2 linked regions of the Lepisosteus oculatus genome follow. The protein of the gene in region 1 purifies or fractionates together with the protein of each later gene. This does not show direct contact. Links are inferred from orthologs where the notes say so. Each region holds a gene or a part of one and is shown on either strand. Other genes may lie near its edges.

Region 1 (7,418 bases):
ATTTAGAGCACTATTGAGGGTACGCTGTCATAAGCATCGTTTTTCACGTGATGATGTAGCAGTCATCTTGCGTACCGATTATAACAAGAGCAATCGATTTGCTCTTTCCTTTCACTAAACCCCTGACCAGAAGCACACAACGGTATGAGGTGTGCTGGAAAAGCGATCTAACCTATTGGTAACGACGAGGATATGAATATACCGTAGCTTTCTCTTTCCATGGGACGGGGACTTTATATTCCCATTTGCCATTCGAAAAAAAAAAGGCCTCGTTTCATTTAATAGTAATAGAAACTGAAAGCTTCAAGCATTTCAAGGGGGTTGAACTAGAGCCTCCTGAATATGTTTTTGTAGTCTGCGCCCGATTCGTACGCTAAAAATACCACCGTGCGTTTTGAAAGAAACACATCCGTTTTTAAAGCCCCGCTTTAGTTGCACTTAGGTTTCCATTACATTAACAAATTCCAACAGTGGAACCATTCTCTCCTGTCCCCGCATGGCTCCGTCACCGACAACTGCTCTCATGAAAGCAATCTGCGGGGCAGGGCTGGGAACTCCGGCCCCATGATGTTGGGCCCACACGACTCAAACCGCGGGCACCTCGTCAAGACCGTCACAACCCGGAAGATGCTAATTACAACTGACAATTACACAGCACCGACCCAACACTTGTCATTTTGTAAAAGAGCTAATCACATTTGACATGACCACACACCTAAAACAGTGCAATGCCGTGCAAAATAATACATTCAAAAAACAAGAGTAAAAACAAAAATGCATGCACAGTCAAAGCTAAGTAAATGGGAATTTAGCTGCACCCGAAAGGAGAGGTAGTCTAACCGCACACGAACGTATCCGTAACGATATATGTTCCAACATCAGAACTTACCTCCCCGGGTTTATCCCCTGCTCTTTGTCACTGATCGCTGCGGTGTAAATCCGCCGGTATCTTTCCGCCAAAGCTCTCCCCGAGAGGAGTAATTGGTACCGGCTCCGACAATCTGACTGGGTCCCGGGACCGGGGCACGAACCCATACTTGATCCAATCCCAGAAAAATCCGATCCGACTCCAGAACTGACCCCGACACCCAACCCCACGGGAGGAGTAGAGGAAGACAGCAGCCCACAGGCACCCGCTGCCGCAGCAGCACACATCATCCTATTTTGGAATAATTCATATATATTACCACGAAATCATTTATAAATAATTATTTCCCTCTGTCAACAAAAGCACAGTACATCTAGCGGATAAATCCTTTGAACACAGCGACAAAAAAGTCATTACATCCACAAGCTCCAATTTGAACAGCATAAAATGTATATACACTCCCTGGTGCAAATGCGAAATACCCTTCCTTTTTAGTACGGTAATTCATTCATTGACTCCGGGTTTTCAACATTTCAAGCCATATTGTTCTGTTGGGTCGGATGACAATTCCTATTACTTTTTAATTGCGTGCTATGTCGTCCTTTGTTTTCGTTTGCTCCTTGTGTTTTTCTTGACCCCGTACAGACTGCACCCTCAGTGCTGCCATCTTTGCTTCATCGTCCTTTCCTGCCTGCTGTCAGGCATGCTGGGATAGGTTTCTGTCCAGATCAACGTAGTAAAGGGTGTCGTTATTTCTAAGGGAGGCTGTCGATTTGCTGAGAGCCTGGAGCACAGATGTTTTTCTTTAAACATGGAGTTTCTTGAAAATTAGAAAAAAAAACACAAAACTGACATATTACAACTGCTAACCGGAAAAGTCATTACAACAGAAAAACGTTAGGTGATTAATATAATATGTCCCGGCATTATCTCGCACTTGAAACCTTCAGTTAAACTGCCTCCACCCCTCTCGCTGGAAGTAGTGGTAACAGTACTATGGAAACCACAATCATTTTTAATCATCAGCGAAATTTATCTTTAATTCTGCTATTCTTGTAATGAAAATTAGGCAATACAAAAGTTGTATCGTTTTTTTCTTATACTGCTGAGTGTGAAGTTCAAGTACCTTGAGGTCCACATTTAAGAAAATAATTTAAAAGCCTACAGATATTTTTTTCCCTTATGCAAATTTAAAAAAGCCAGGTGCTGATGAATCTTTACCCCCAGAGAATACAAACACTACTCTGTATTTTATCTATGTTGCCACCCAACCTCATTAAGTACGGTATTAATAATATTAAGGTCTCCGAAGAAGATATCACGTCTTAACTGCCAGTTTATGTCGGAGAGCTTTTCAGAGAGAACTAGTTGAATATTGCCCAGATTGTAACCTGATCATCAGGTTAGAACATAATGCAAATTTAGCAAAACAGTATTTAAATAACCCCGACTCAATATCAGGTAGAAACCCAAGTATACGCTGCATCGGGTTCAATAACATTGAAATACAAAGGAAGAGGTAATGTGTTGAATTTGCCAGTAGGGTCAATGTTGAAATGTTGCATCAGACTGGTTTATTAATTTTCTCAGGGCCAATTCAACGATCAAGTTGTGAAATGGTTATGGATTTAGCAGTATTAATCGTATCATTTATTTGCTTCTTAGTTAAATCTTCCCTCATCTCCTCATCTTCTGGATGAGAAGATTGCTTTACTTTTTTATACTGACAAATTAAATTACAACATATCACCGTGTAACGCTGTTTTTAAATGTGTACGTGTAACCAATATAGAGAGGTAAGAGTTCAGGCAATATCAGCTCACAGTAAAATAAAACGTCAGTAGGCCTCCTAGACTACTTGCTATTATATAATAAAAGTCTGGTAAATGTATACACTGTATCACAAAACTCGATGCCGTAGTTTGATACGCATATTTTTCGACAAATTACAAAAACATACATTGTCGTTACCAAAATACAGTAGTCGTTACTTCAGATGTCAATATGTCTGCAATACACAACTGTAGTCAAGCACGATATGTGCATAGCCTGATTATATTTACCTCTTTAAGTCGCGTGAATATTAATTATACACAGCGGTTTAAAAAGTTGTTTTATTCTTTAATCTTAACCGCTGCTGTAAGTACGTCTTCGGAATGTGTAGAAATGGCAAGTACTGTATTTTGGAAAGTCACCTTTTGGAAGAAATTGACTAGTAAGAAATATAACAGCAAAACAGTTCTTATCTGATCTCTGAATGAAAAATGTCCACATCTTTATGGTACAGACACCTCCTTTTTCGCTCAGATAACGTTTAGTCGTATTTCTAAAACGTAAACTTTAAACTAGTAACAGAACCAAACATTACTTTTCGTTAACAAAGTTAAAATTTCACCAGGACAAGCAGACTTATTCTTTTCAGCGCTTTTACTTCTTTATGCAGAAAGACACCTTGTAAATTCCTGACTGAACCTTAAGTCGTTTTGATCTAACACTTGTTCTACTTAATGGGTATGTGGTGAGGAATTTACTTTAAATATTACTAAATAACTAGCTTGTTTTTTTTCTCATCTAAAATGTCAACGTTGTTATACAGTAACTAGTGGGGGATTTGAGTAAATAGTTTGTGCTTATAATATACATATATTGCAACAACTGATGCAAAATATGTCCTCACTATGGGGTTGTTTGTCCTTTCACTGATGCATTTTTTTATTTTGAGGAATTTGTAGGAACTGCTGGTGCTTCACAGCTCAGGATCCCGGGTTCAAAGTTTACATGTTCTCCTTTTAGTTCAAGTTCAAGTTCGAGTTCAAGTTTATTGTCATTATACTCATATACAGGTATATGGTATAACGAAATGCTATTTAGCTACCTCTCTGACATAAGTAGTACAAAGAAAAAACAACAACAACAATACAACTGTATAACAAAAGAAGGACAGAGACAACAGGTGATGTGCAAAAACAACTACAGGTGATGTGCAAAAACAACAACAGGCAATGTGCAAAAAACAACAACAGGCAATGTACAAAACAACAAAAAGGTAACAGGTTATGTGCAAAAACATGCATCAACAGAATGAAATAAAGGGATAGAAATGATGGGGAGTGAGCGTTTGACATGTATGGTAGAGGTAGATTTTCAATGTATGTTTGGGTTTTTGTAAGAAAGAAGGCACTGTGAGGTTCAGATCATAGGTGAGAGGTGAGGTGAGAGTGAGAGAGGCTGGGAGTTTAATAGTTTGATAGTGCGGGGATAAAAACTGTTTCTGAGTCTGGTAGTCCGGACCCGAATGCTCCGGTACCGTTTTCCAGATGGTAGCGGATCATACAGTCTATAGCTGGGGTGTGTGCTTTTAAAAGCTCACTTTTAAAAGTTATTCCAGGTGGTCCAGTTTCATCCCACAGTCCAAAGACAGGCTTTCAAGGTAAATAACCCCACCCCCCATGAGAATTAATGTGAAATGTGTATGTGTGTGTCCTGTGATGGTGTTGTGTCGCATCCAAAGTGTAGTCCTGTACTGTGCTGTGTGCCAACCACATAAGGCTCCAGCTCAACATGATCTAAGGGTAAAGATGAATGGAGAAATTTCCCTATGCTTTGCATAACTAAATGTACTGTATAAACTGGGTATAATGTTATTATATAAATTCCTTTTGGAAATCTTACCCTCTGTTGCTGTTATCTGCATTTACATGAAAAGTATCAGACTAGAGCTGGACATCCATTCAATGCATTTTCCTTGTTTGGTTACATCTTATAAATTAAATTATTCTTTAAACAATGCCAGACCTCCATATTGTCTATTGTATAATGTATAAACAAATATGTATAGATATCCCAGCATACATTTTGGAAATGTTAATATGGCAGATTTGTGTTTTATTTTGGATTTTTTTCCCATTGTTTTACCATGCTTGTACCATACATTTACTTTGTCATAGTTTCTTGCATGTCAGGATTTACTTACTGTACTTTTCTGCCTTACCTTGGTTTGAGCACAACTGGAACATAAGAATATGAGATGGGTTTTAAAAAAATGAGAGTCCCAGCCGGCTCTTAGTAGCTACAGTAACTGATGAGGATCAAAGTATTGGCTTCAACAACATGATTGTGTAACTTGTTCCAAAGTCCCACAACCCTTTGCGTAAAGAAGTTCTTCTTGTTTTGTGGTATAAAATGCACTTTCACATAATTTAACTTTGCTTTACTACACATTCACTGTAATTCTGTTTGTCTTTCACTGTAATTAACTCCCAGAGCAATCGGTGCCTAGGTAGACGCATCCAAGAGCAGGGGGATACGTAGCTGGCCCGGAAACTGCAGATTTCAGGTTACAATGATCAGGTAAGAGTGAGTGAGAGTGTAAGTCATTAGAGAGTGCTTTACAGATTTCCCTTGACTTAATCTTGCACGGGCTATAAGAAACAGCACTTCTGCTTACCAGATACATTTTTAATAACTGTTAATACTGCAGGAAAAAAATGTAAGCATCACATGGTTCAAAAAGGGGAAATCTAAAACTAAGTTGTTGCATCATCAAAATGTGGATTTAGGTAACTATATTTAAAATGATTTAATCAATTTTATACAGACTTGCAAATGTCACCTGTAAATAAGTGAATTACTGTATGGTCTAACTTAAATACAAAATGTTTATTTCTAGGCATACACAGATGGCTGTCTTATTTCATAATGATGGAAAATGTAATTATATATATTTTTATTTTGCTATTTGTTATTGTTCCTCACAGTGTCTGGGGGACAGCTATTGACCTGTGAGTAAAATGCTTGCCAGAATCATTTTTATTTTGAGAGAACAGAAGCTAATCATATGTAGCCTTTATGTTTTCAACGGTAATCAAATTATTCAGCTAAATCAGTCTGATGTTGGGTAAACGAAGGACTATTTTCAATAAAAAGCACTACAATCACCACTATAATCCTTTGGTTGTGTTACAGTATGTCACCTTGAATGTAGACACAACAAATTGGAAGATAAAATTACAAATCTGCTAAAGAAAGAAAAACATGTCATGTTTCAGTACTGTGAAGGTGATCTTCCAACATTCTGTTATTTTTAATTCTGCATTCTTGAACATAGTACCTTATTTCAGAAGTTCAGCTTCAGTTTAAAAACAGTGCAATTCCCAAGAAAATTGAAATTGAGCCATAATAACATAAAGTCCCCCAAAATCTGCCAAATATTTTCAAGTTGCAAATTGAGAATTTATTCTACTCCAAAACAAGAACTTCAAAATGTGCTTATTTATATAAGAGTTGCACCTTAATCTCATTCTCGTATGCTTTCAGCTTCATCTTTTTATGTCTGCTATTTTCTCAGGAAATTCTTAACATATTATTGTATGTTACCATAATTTATTGATGTCGTAAAGTTAGTATTTGAACATTTGTTTACCTGCATTTCATTCAGTTTTTCATTTTATTTTTTATTGGATGGATCAATTATATATGATTTCTGGTCAAGTATATTTGAAATGATTGTCAATGCAAATATAGTAATACATAACATTTCTATTCTACAGATAAATGCCATTTAAGAGGCAGAAAGCCTTTAGCACAATGATGAATGTCTGTACTAATTCTTTTTTTCAAGAGGCTTCTTAACTGACAGCTTTTTGACTGACATCTGTGAAACTGATTTCTACAATAATAATCCAGAACACTGAGCAACGTTTCTACAGCTAGTATGGTTTTATCGCACACAGCTTGACCAAATGAAGCACATAGTGTGGACAGAAACTGTAGACATCTTGTATGTAATCCTAGAGATCTTTGTGCCTGCTGTTGAAAACTGCATGGGGTTATTCAATCACAACTCAGCGATTCCATTCCATTAAGGCCAGGTGGGTGTGAAGACGCGTGTGCCTTTGATCTGATCTGCAATGCTTCATGGGTCTTGCTTGCATTCATGTCTTTTGTCTCTGTTCAGATTCTGATTTATCACATGGAAGCTCTCATTACCTGTTTTACTCATAAAATACACACATAGACAAAAGGATTTATGCTCCTTATAAAACAATGCAAAATGAACAATAACATGTTCAATGAAGATAAAAATAAAAAAAATGTGTACGATTCCAGTACTTTTCACTCACCTATATACATTCAAATATACACGTATGCACATAGATGTTTCCTAGCAAATATTAATATTTTATATTCATAAAGTAATATATGTAAAAATATATATTGTGTAGACAAATGTATACACTATTCAGTGGTTTGCCTCTGTAAAACAAAAGTTAAAGAAGGTGTAGGTGATCATTATTGTAAAATAATCCACTTCATTGTGATGTAGGCTATGATACAAAACAAACAATAACAAAGTTTTGTAACTAAGACAGGAGCTAAGAGTTTATGAATGTCAACCTAACTACAGTATTTTTAAAATGCAGAACTTCCAAAAGTTCAAAACAAAATATTCCATAATTTTTCTTGGAGCCAGTTTCATATTTAATTTAATTTCGCAAAGATCTGCTATCTCCAATAGGCTAACACAGAGCTAGACTCTGATGGAACAACC
Region 2 (7,893 bases), on another chromosome or scaffold:
AGCGATAGCTCAGGCGGAAAGTAAATCAAAACCTGCTGTCTGACATCCTGTGATGGAGACAGAAAAGGGGCATTTCTTCTTCGGCCGCGCTTCCTGTTTCCTTCCAGTCGTGCCTCACGCCGACTGCCCAGACTCCACGCCTCAGGGAAACCTCCCGGCTCCATGACCTCCGGGTGACTTCTGGCCTTATCCAATCTCAACATGCAGGCAGGGCTCCATATTCCGTCTGGAGATGCCAGCTTTCCCGACCTGCCTGAAGACTTCCTCCCCTCTGGAATCTAGAAATTCTAGATTTCTTTGCACAGTATTTTGCACTATTGCTGCTGTTGGTTTTGCAAAAGGTTTGTTTTGACGCCGGCATGGCAAACAAAGGCACGTAGCCAGAAACAGAACACACGCAACAGAATCGCACACATGCTGCGGAACGGGACGGAAAAGGCTCGGCACTGCTCGGCAGCTGATGCATTTTTAACTACGGCACACACGGCTATGCTTCCAGATGCAAGGCTTGTGCAACTGCAAAATCCCGTGGCATGCTTTAATATTTATGCATTGCTGCACACTCGCCTCTTCAATGAAGCAAGATGCGATGCAATGCCAGGCTCAAGGCCCAAGTTAAAACTGACTTGTCTTTATAATAATCAGCCACCTCACACTCTTTCCTCCTGCGCTGGCCACACAACACTTTTATAAAGCACAGACAAAAGCTCTATCCCAGGGGAGGTGGGAAATGGTTAGCCCACATGATACTTGTGCTTACCTGACCATATTTAAGCACAAGACACCATTAGCTATTCTTGGATGCTGTAAAAACCTCTCTCACACACACAACATCTCAGCACTGTCCGTGTCTGGCCAACAAATTTAGGTTAACAAATACATTATAATCTAAGCATGGGGCATAATGGTGATACCTCTAATAATGTAGCATGAATGTGAAGTATCCAGAGATTAAAGCAAACAGCTCTAAAACTTTCTTACGGGAAAAGAAAAATGCTGTTTGTTTCAGAACTGAAAAGGCAAAAGAATTTACAGCTGTTGTTCAAAAGTCCCTAACTTTCCGTCGACGTGCGCCACAGTGAACTGCGTGCTACATTTTGTGGAGACGTTAAAAGCAAATGTGAACCGAGACCATTAATCAGAAGAGCACACGGCAGAGCTCAGTGCCGAGGACTTGAAAAGCGGTGACTGGGCAGAGCCAGAACGATCATCACCTGATCGATTCCAGCAGCCTGCCGGTTGCCTACACTCTCGGGAGACACACGCATCTCGGATCACAGTTTCGTGTAAAACCTCGTTCTTCGCAGCACTGATGCAGGCTGCCAAAGCGGTAAAGAAAACCGGCTGAACCCGCTTGCCGGTAATTGAAACGCAAGGCTGGCAGCTGATGCAGGGAGTTCTGACTTTTCCCATCAAACAGGAGGGAGCTGAGCTGTCATCTAACAGGCAGAGAAATAAAATCTGCTTTCCTTGGATAAACAGACAGATGGCTTCTTCCTCAAATAAGGCACATGAGTAGTAGTATCTAAACTTCAGTAAATAAAAATACTGACACATTTGCCCTTTGCAGACACTACCGATGTATAGGTGTAATGAGTAATGGGCTTCAGACATGTTTCTCCATACTGTCAGCACACTCCAGTAATGAATACAGAATACATATTATTAACATTTAAATTGTGAAATGGACGGAAAGATGGATTTCTCAATAGCAAATCATGTCTAAAATAGTATGCATTTTACAGTAAAGCTTGGACTAAAGAGTAAAGAATTTAACTCCCAAGATCTTACTGATGAGCATGTCAGCAGTTAGTCATCATTCACATACCAAAAAATAACCGGACACCAGCTTGTGCTGAAGCTGAGATTGCTGTGAACTTGAAAGGCGACCTCATGATAACCCTGGAATTTAGGGGAGAGAGTTGTACTGCAATGTTGAAATCCGCAGCAAGAAAGACGCTTATTAATGTTATTTTCAGCAGTGTGCACATTAAAAAATAACATTTGGTAACCGCAAACAAAACATTGATTGAGCATTAAGTGTAAACAGACTGGCGCTGCTTCAGTATAAAATTCAACAGCACGTAAACCTACAACAGTCAAACAGCTCGGGACCTAGTCATACTGCCTTAAAAATCTCACGAGGTGAGTACAAAGGTAAGGACACAAAGCAAACCACCTCATCCGAGCACTAAAAACGCAGACATCTTTATCCAGCAAGCAGAATCTGTTCTCACCACAAACGTCTAAACTAGTGAGGACACCTGAGCTCTATTTGTGACCCTCGAAGTCGTGAAGTTCGTTTTCCTGATTTGCCTAACGCGCCTAAGGGAAGCCCAAACCTTCACTGCCGCCGATTTAATGCGGACTCGTTCAAATGTAAAATGTACACCTTGTCCAAAGCACCATTTTATTAGTTTATGTAGAAGTGAAACAACTGCGCCCATACACTCATCAATCCAATATTTACAAAGAACACAGGAAAGTGGCACTTTGCACTAAAAGGTTTTTTTTTTTAAGAGGGGGGGCTGGTTGCCCTCATCGGTAGCTAACAATATATTAAGCGCACTGCCTCCATCCCACGCATTATTCTCGGTGCGTGACCGTGGGTAACCTTATTAGTTGGATACTACTGGTGTCCAGATCGGCGATTTGTGTTGAAGTTTTTCGACAAGCCGACTGCGCGTCCAGGTCAGCTATCCGCTCCGATTCGGGTTCACATCGTGTCGAGCTCTTCCCTGCTTATCGGGACGGTGCGAAGCAAATTGCGGGAGGTTACACGCATTTTAAGCCAGGTACGGCGACAACCATGAGGCTCCATTGGTGCTGTAAGGCAATCGGACAGCACAGGCCGCAGGGAGGAATTGCAAAGCAGCCTCAGCATCTCGTATCCCTCGGTTATTCTGTATCCCATTCACCCTTCAACCCACCCTGCCTCGAAGTATCCAGCACTTGCAACAGGTACGACACAAAGACACGCATAGCACTGCTAGTATTTGCAACGAAGCATGATACTTACGTTTTTTAGGCTTGCTCAACCGATTTTCCTTTTCCTGTCTCTTCTTTCCCTCTGGTATTGTTATATATTTTTCTCGTCTCTTGTGTCTCCCCTTTCCTCTCTGTCTAGAACTGCTGCGCACCAACCAAACCTACATCAGCAAACGTCACTTCCGACTAGTGGCAACTGAAGCCGGACCTGGGTCATGTGACAGGTGTCTGGGATATTATTTGTTCTGGTTATGTGACAATAATCTGTGACTTTGTGGGTTCCGGTCCTAGAGAATTAGAAATGTCTTAATGCACAGGGAGAATTATTAACAAAAAATAAAAACTGTGCTTTGACTCTTGATTACGGTCGGAAATATTGCGACAGTGTCTGAAATAGAAATAAAAAATGAAATTATTGCCTTCAGGTGATTATGAGCTTTCCGAGCAGTAACACTCATAACATTCCTCCAGTGAAAAGATTGAAACATAGCATTTTGTACTTATTTAATGACAAGAGCAGCGTGTCTGAGCAGTGGATTCTACAGACATGTTACTGCACTCAGGAAATCCAAATCACCCTGTGTGTGGAGCATGCTTTTTGGTTGAACAAGACCCAAATTCCAAGTGGGAATAAATGTCTGCCTCAGTGATCCCTTGTATCCAGCAGGAGGTTGTAATTGTCAGTTTCATTTAAGTCCAGAAGGAGAACAAAAATACTAAACAAGTCTGAAGCCATCAGCCATTCATTAAATACCTTAACACAAGCTCTTTTCAATTCTTCGGGTAAACAAAAAGGAAACGTTCAAAGAGCTCATCACCTTTAACTGCCCACTCCATAATTTTTGCAAGAAGGGACACATTGTAAATAGGGTTGTGGTTGTTAGCTACTTGGAGTTCCAGACCTGGTTTGGCACAGGTGTGATAGCAGAACACTATCTGCAGATACAAGACCAGATTGCAGAAATTCTTTGAAAAGCTTAGTAAGAGGACAAAGAGCAGAGAAGCCATATCTGAGCAGGGGCCAGCAAATAGTTATTAATTAAATCATTTTTATGTGTTTAGTTGTGAAAGAACAGCTTGCCAAATAATAAGGCACAGGTAAAATTACAATAAAAGTGGGTTACTCATCTTATTTGGGTTGTTCAGTAGTTAGAAGCTAATTCATCAAAGGATCTAATTCAGCCATTAGATGAAAGAACCCAGGACACCATCTTCAATAATATAGCTGCCTAGCTTGTTCTAAACTCCCACAATCCTCTGTGTACAGACATTCCCCCAGTACTCAGTTTTATGGACCTTGTTATTTCCAGTTTATGTTCACTGGTTCATGGTTCACTGTATATTCAGGAAAAAGACCTTGTCAAAGGCTTTGACAATTTTGAAAACTTGAATTAGGTCCCCTCATAGCCTTTTCTGTTGAAGACAGAGAAACTCTTTAAACTTGTCATTACAGGACATGTTTCGGGCCAGGAATGTGTTTGGTTGCTCTGAACCACTGAAGCCCAGCATTCCACAGCAGTAAAATATGATTCTATAGTGGTGACCAAATTTATGCACAGTATTTTAAATTAGGTCTTACTAGTGCGTTGCGCAATTTTAATATAACATACCTGGATTGAATTTTTACACTTCTTAAAGTCTACATTCATTCCAAAGGGTTAATCTCATTTAAAACGAGCCAAGTCAAGCGGAGCACAGAGACGGAATTTTTTACTCTTGCTGTGCAGCAAATGAGACACTCCCACTTGTGTTTACGGTAGCTGACCAGGCGTCTTCATGGGGTCCTAACAGGGGTGTAAAAGGACAAATGATTATACCCTCAAGTGAAATACGAAGAACTTACTGATTGACTCGGAAAATGCAATTCCTTCAGTACTCATTTTATGGCACGATAATAAACGAGTCGATGCTGACGGCTTCTTCGCGCTCCTCCGGTTTTACGTCTGTATACTAGCGTCTTAACAGGACCCTTGGTTTTGTTGGTCTGTTTCCTCCCCGCTTTCAGTGTGCGTGTAAGTGACTGGATCTGTATTCTGCACCGGCTGTGTCCCGGTTCCGATCCGGTCTCGCACAGCCTGCGAGTTTGCATTTTGCATTTTGGAATTTTCTCCCTCCGACTCGCTGCCTTGGTGACCTGCCTGTCTCTGTGGGGTTTATTTTGTGCTATAGGATGTCGGGAGCGGCGGCCGGAGGGGCGTCTTTCTCCACAGGGACAGCTGCTCCGAGCGCTGGCACAGCCGCCGGGGCAGGGGTTGCAGGCAGGTTGCCTTGCCGGGTTTTGGAGCATGTGTTCTCCTACCTGGAGCTGCGGGACCTGCTCCGCTGCGCATTGGTGTGCAGACACTGGCACCGATGCCTCAGCGCCGACGAGAACAGCGAGGTCTATCGGAGCCTGTGCGTCCGCACGCTGGGGGAAGAGGCGCTGCGCTCGGATATTCTCTGCAACCTGCCCACCTACAAAGGAAAGGTAAACATTGGGTCTGACACTGTCATAGAGTATAGCCGCACTATTAACGCGATTTCATTCCAAGTAAAGTGTCTGGCTGTCGTTTTGTTTTTGACATCAGTGCGAAGGCGTACTCGGTACATCGGAGATTGTGTTTAAATCGTCCTTTTTGTCTCCCCTAGCGCATCTTTAAAACCCAGCTCTTGGCCTAACCAGTGTGCTTTTAATCGCGGAACAAATTCAGCATGCTAGCACCTGAAATGTAATGACTGGGGGCAGTTTAGTTCATCTAATAATGTCGCGTTTAGAGTACGGACAGTCGGACGTTTAAGTTTAAACACTTGGGCGTTACTGTTAGTTTCTTAGGCCCTTACAAAGGGACATTGGGTTACCCTGATACAGGCTGTCGGGTATATTATCTATTACAAGTTAATTTTAGAGACTGTTGAAATGTTTACATATAGTTCAAGTAGGGAGCTGCGTCAGCATGTGTAGGCTTAAAGTTAAAGGTTTATTCCTTGCTGAAAAGAGAAGAAAGGAAATGCAACGTTTCACTTGTGTAGCCTTCTTCACACCCGAAACAGCCGAAACGTTGTGTTTCCTTCCTTCTCTTTTCAGCATGGGATAGACATTTACATTTGTTTAATCCAAGCTGTGAAACGTAAAGATGGATCAGTAAACTGGAGGACGGCGGTGTTGTGCGTCTCACTAACTGCCCGTCTGGAACCCCTGGTGGTTTATCTGGTGTGAGAAGTTCTGTCTGATCTGGGTCAGGCTGTTCAATAGCCACAGTCAGGGTTTGGTAAAAGCAAATTTGGCAGATTAATACATTTGACGATAACTCACCAGTAGCCTGTTACAATCTGAAGTATGTGTTTGCTCGCAGTTATGTGAGTAAAATATATTTTTTACCATTTAGGACAATACTATTTTTTATTCACCACCTTGGATAAATTTACGTGGCATATTTTTAGTAAGCCTTACTGGTAAAATAAAGCAGTTTGGGGTGAAAAATAACATACAAAAAGCTGATGGGGAACATGCTCTTCTGAGCAGTAGTGCTTTGCTATCCATTCATTATCTAACCACTATATCCAGTACATGGCTGGACCCTTTCCCAGCAAGCAACAGGTGCAAGGCAGAACACACACTGAATGGGACACCAGTCCATCACAGGGCATACACAGACATACACTCACACCAGGGCCAGTTTTCCCAGAAGTCAGTTCACCTACCAGTATGTTTATGGACTGTTGGAAGAAAACCATACAAACCTGGGGAGAACATACAAACTCCTCACAGATAGCACCCCAGGAATTAAACCCCAACGCTGTGAGGCAGCAGTGCTGACCACTGCACCACTGTGTTGTCCTCTGGTCATTTTCCTTTCGTCTGTGTGACTCAAGCACGCCATTAAACCTTCACCTAAAATGTTTTCAGCCTCTTTGCTTCTACTACACGCATGTCCTGATAATGCAGAAATATTTCTCGTTTTTTTCCTCATATTGTTGTGAAGCTGGCTTCTATTTGGTTTCTAATTATGTCATTCCATCCTATTTGATGAACTTAAAATAATCCCTGGGATCTCTTTTATTAATACACCTTCAGTTTGGAGATATGTGGATAGACAACAAAGTGTCAAAATACATTACTGTGCAAAACTTGGGATTATTTATCATATTTTGCAGTTCAAAATGTGCTACTATTATAGTTATACATTTAAGAACTGAGGTGGAAACTAGCATGCTATAAATCTTGATTGGCCACCTAAAAATCTGATTGAGGCCATGTGGGATTTTTCCGGAGTCAGGAGAAAAAGAGGAGTTCAACAAACTCAGACAAGTGGAATGTTTTTCAAGGCATTTGATTTACAGTTCTCATTACAGTACTCCAGTTGGTTCAGTGGAAACATGACTAAAACACAAGGGGCCAAAAAAAGTGTGGAAAAATTAAGGGAAGGGGAAAATTCTTGACCTACTCTAATAACATTTTTGGCACCCAGAAATATTTTTTTTTCTCCCCTCTGCTGTTCATGTCTTAATCGGGTCAACTGGACCAAATCATCACGGTGGGTCGCTGTATTGAGACTAGTTGAAGCACACCAGCCCCCGGACGTCACTGATGCCTGTGACATCAGTTATACTGGTCCCAGAACTGGGACCTGCAGGGTGGAGAAACGTCACTTCCCATCAGTGGGGCTGTGGCTGTGTGGCACAGCATGTCGGCTCTTGGCTAGAGACATGTGTGACGGTCAGAAATAGTCTCCAGATAAACTGTGGAAATTACACACTATAAGATAACTGAGCAGCAGCTTGGTCTGGAAAAGCTGAACTGACATATCTTCCGGGTGATGTTTTGGATATCAAGGCATTCTAAACGGATTGCAAGACTGTCTTTTTTTATTCGTCTTAAGTTAAGTGAATAACTAACGTCTTCGAGTTAAGTGAATAATAACACGT

The links. The genes of interacting proteins can lie anywhere in the genome.
Region 2: the proteins of mycbp2 (region 1) and fbxo45 purify together in Homo sapiens (affinity purification with western blotting; 7 studies listed by BioGRID and IntAct, with this or other methods). This does not show direct contact. The link is inferred for Lepisosteus oculatus from reciprocal best matches to the Homo sapiens genes MYCBP2 and FBXO45.

The regions. Positions count from the first base shown.
Region 1 is NC_090710.1:17,051,383-17,058,800, reverse strand, and holds the start of mycbp2 (E3 ubiquitin-protein ligase MYCBP2), read right to left. Parts: upstream 3,007-7,418; 5' UTR 2,932-3,006; intron 2,388-2,931; exon of another isoform or gene 2,210-2,387; intron 1,689-2,209; 5' UTR 1,446-1,688; exon of another isoform or gene 1,160-1,445; 5' UTR 1,159-1,159; coding exon 890-1,158; intron 1-889. UniProt on the Homo sapiens protein: Atypical E3 ubiquitin-protein ligase which specifically mediates ubiquitination of threonine and serine residues on target proteins, instead of ubiquitinating lysine residues.
Region 2 is NC_090708.1:21,112,253-21,120,145, reverse strand, and holds the start of fbxo45 (F-box/SPRY domain-containing protein 1), read left to right. Parts: upstream 1-4,872; 5' UTR 4,873-5,158; coding exon 5,159-5,455; intron 5,456-7,893. UniProt on the Homo sapiens protein: Component of E3 ubiquitin ligase complex consisting of FBXO45, MYCBP2 and SKP1. Functions in substrate recognition but also plays an important role in assembly of the complex.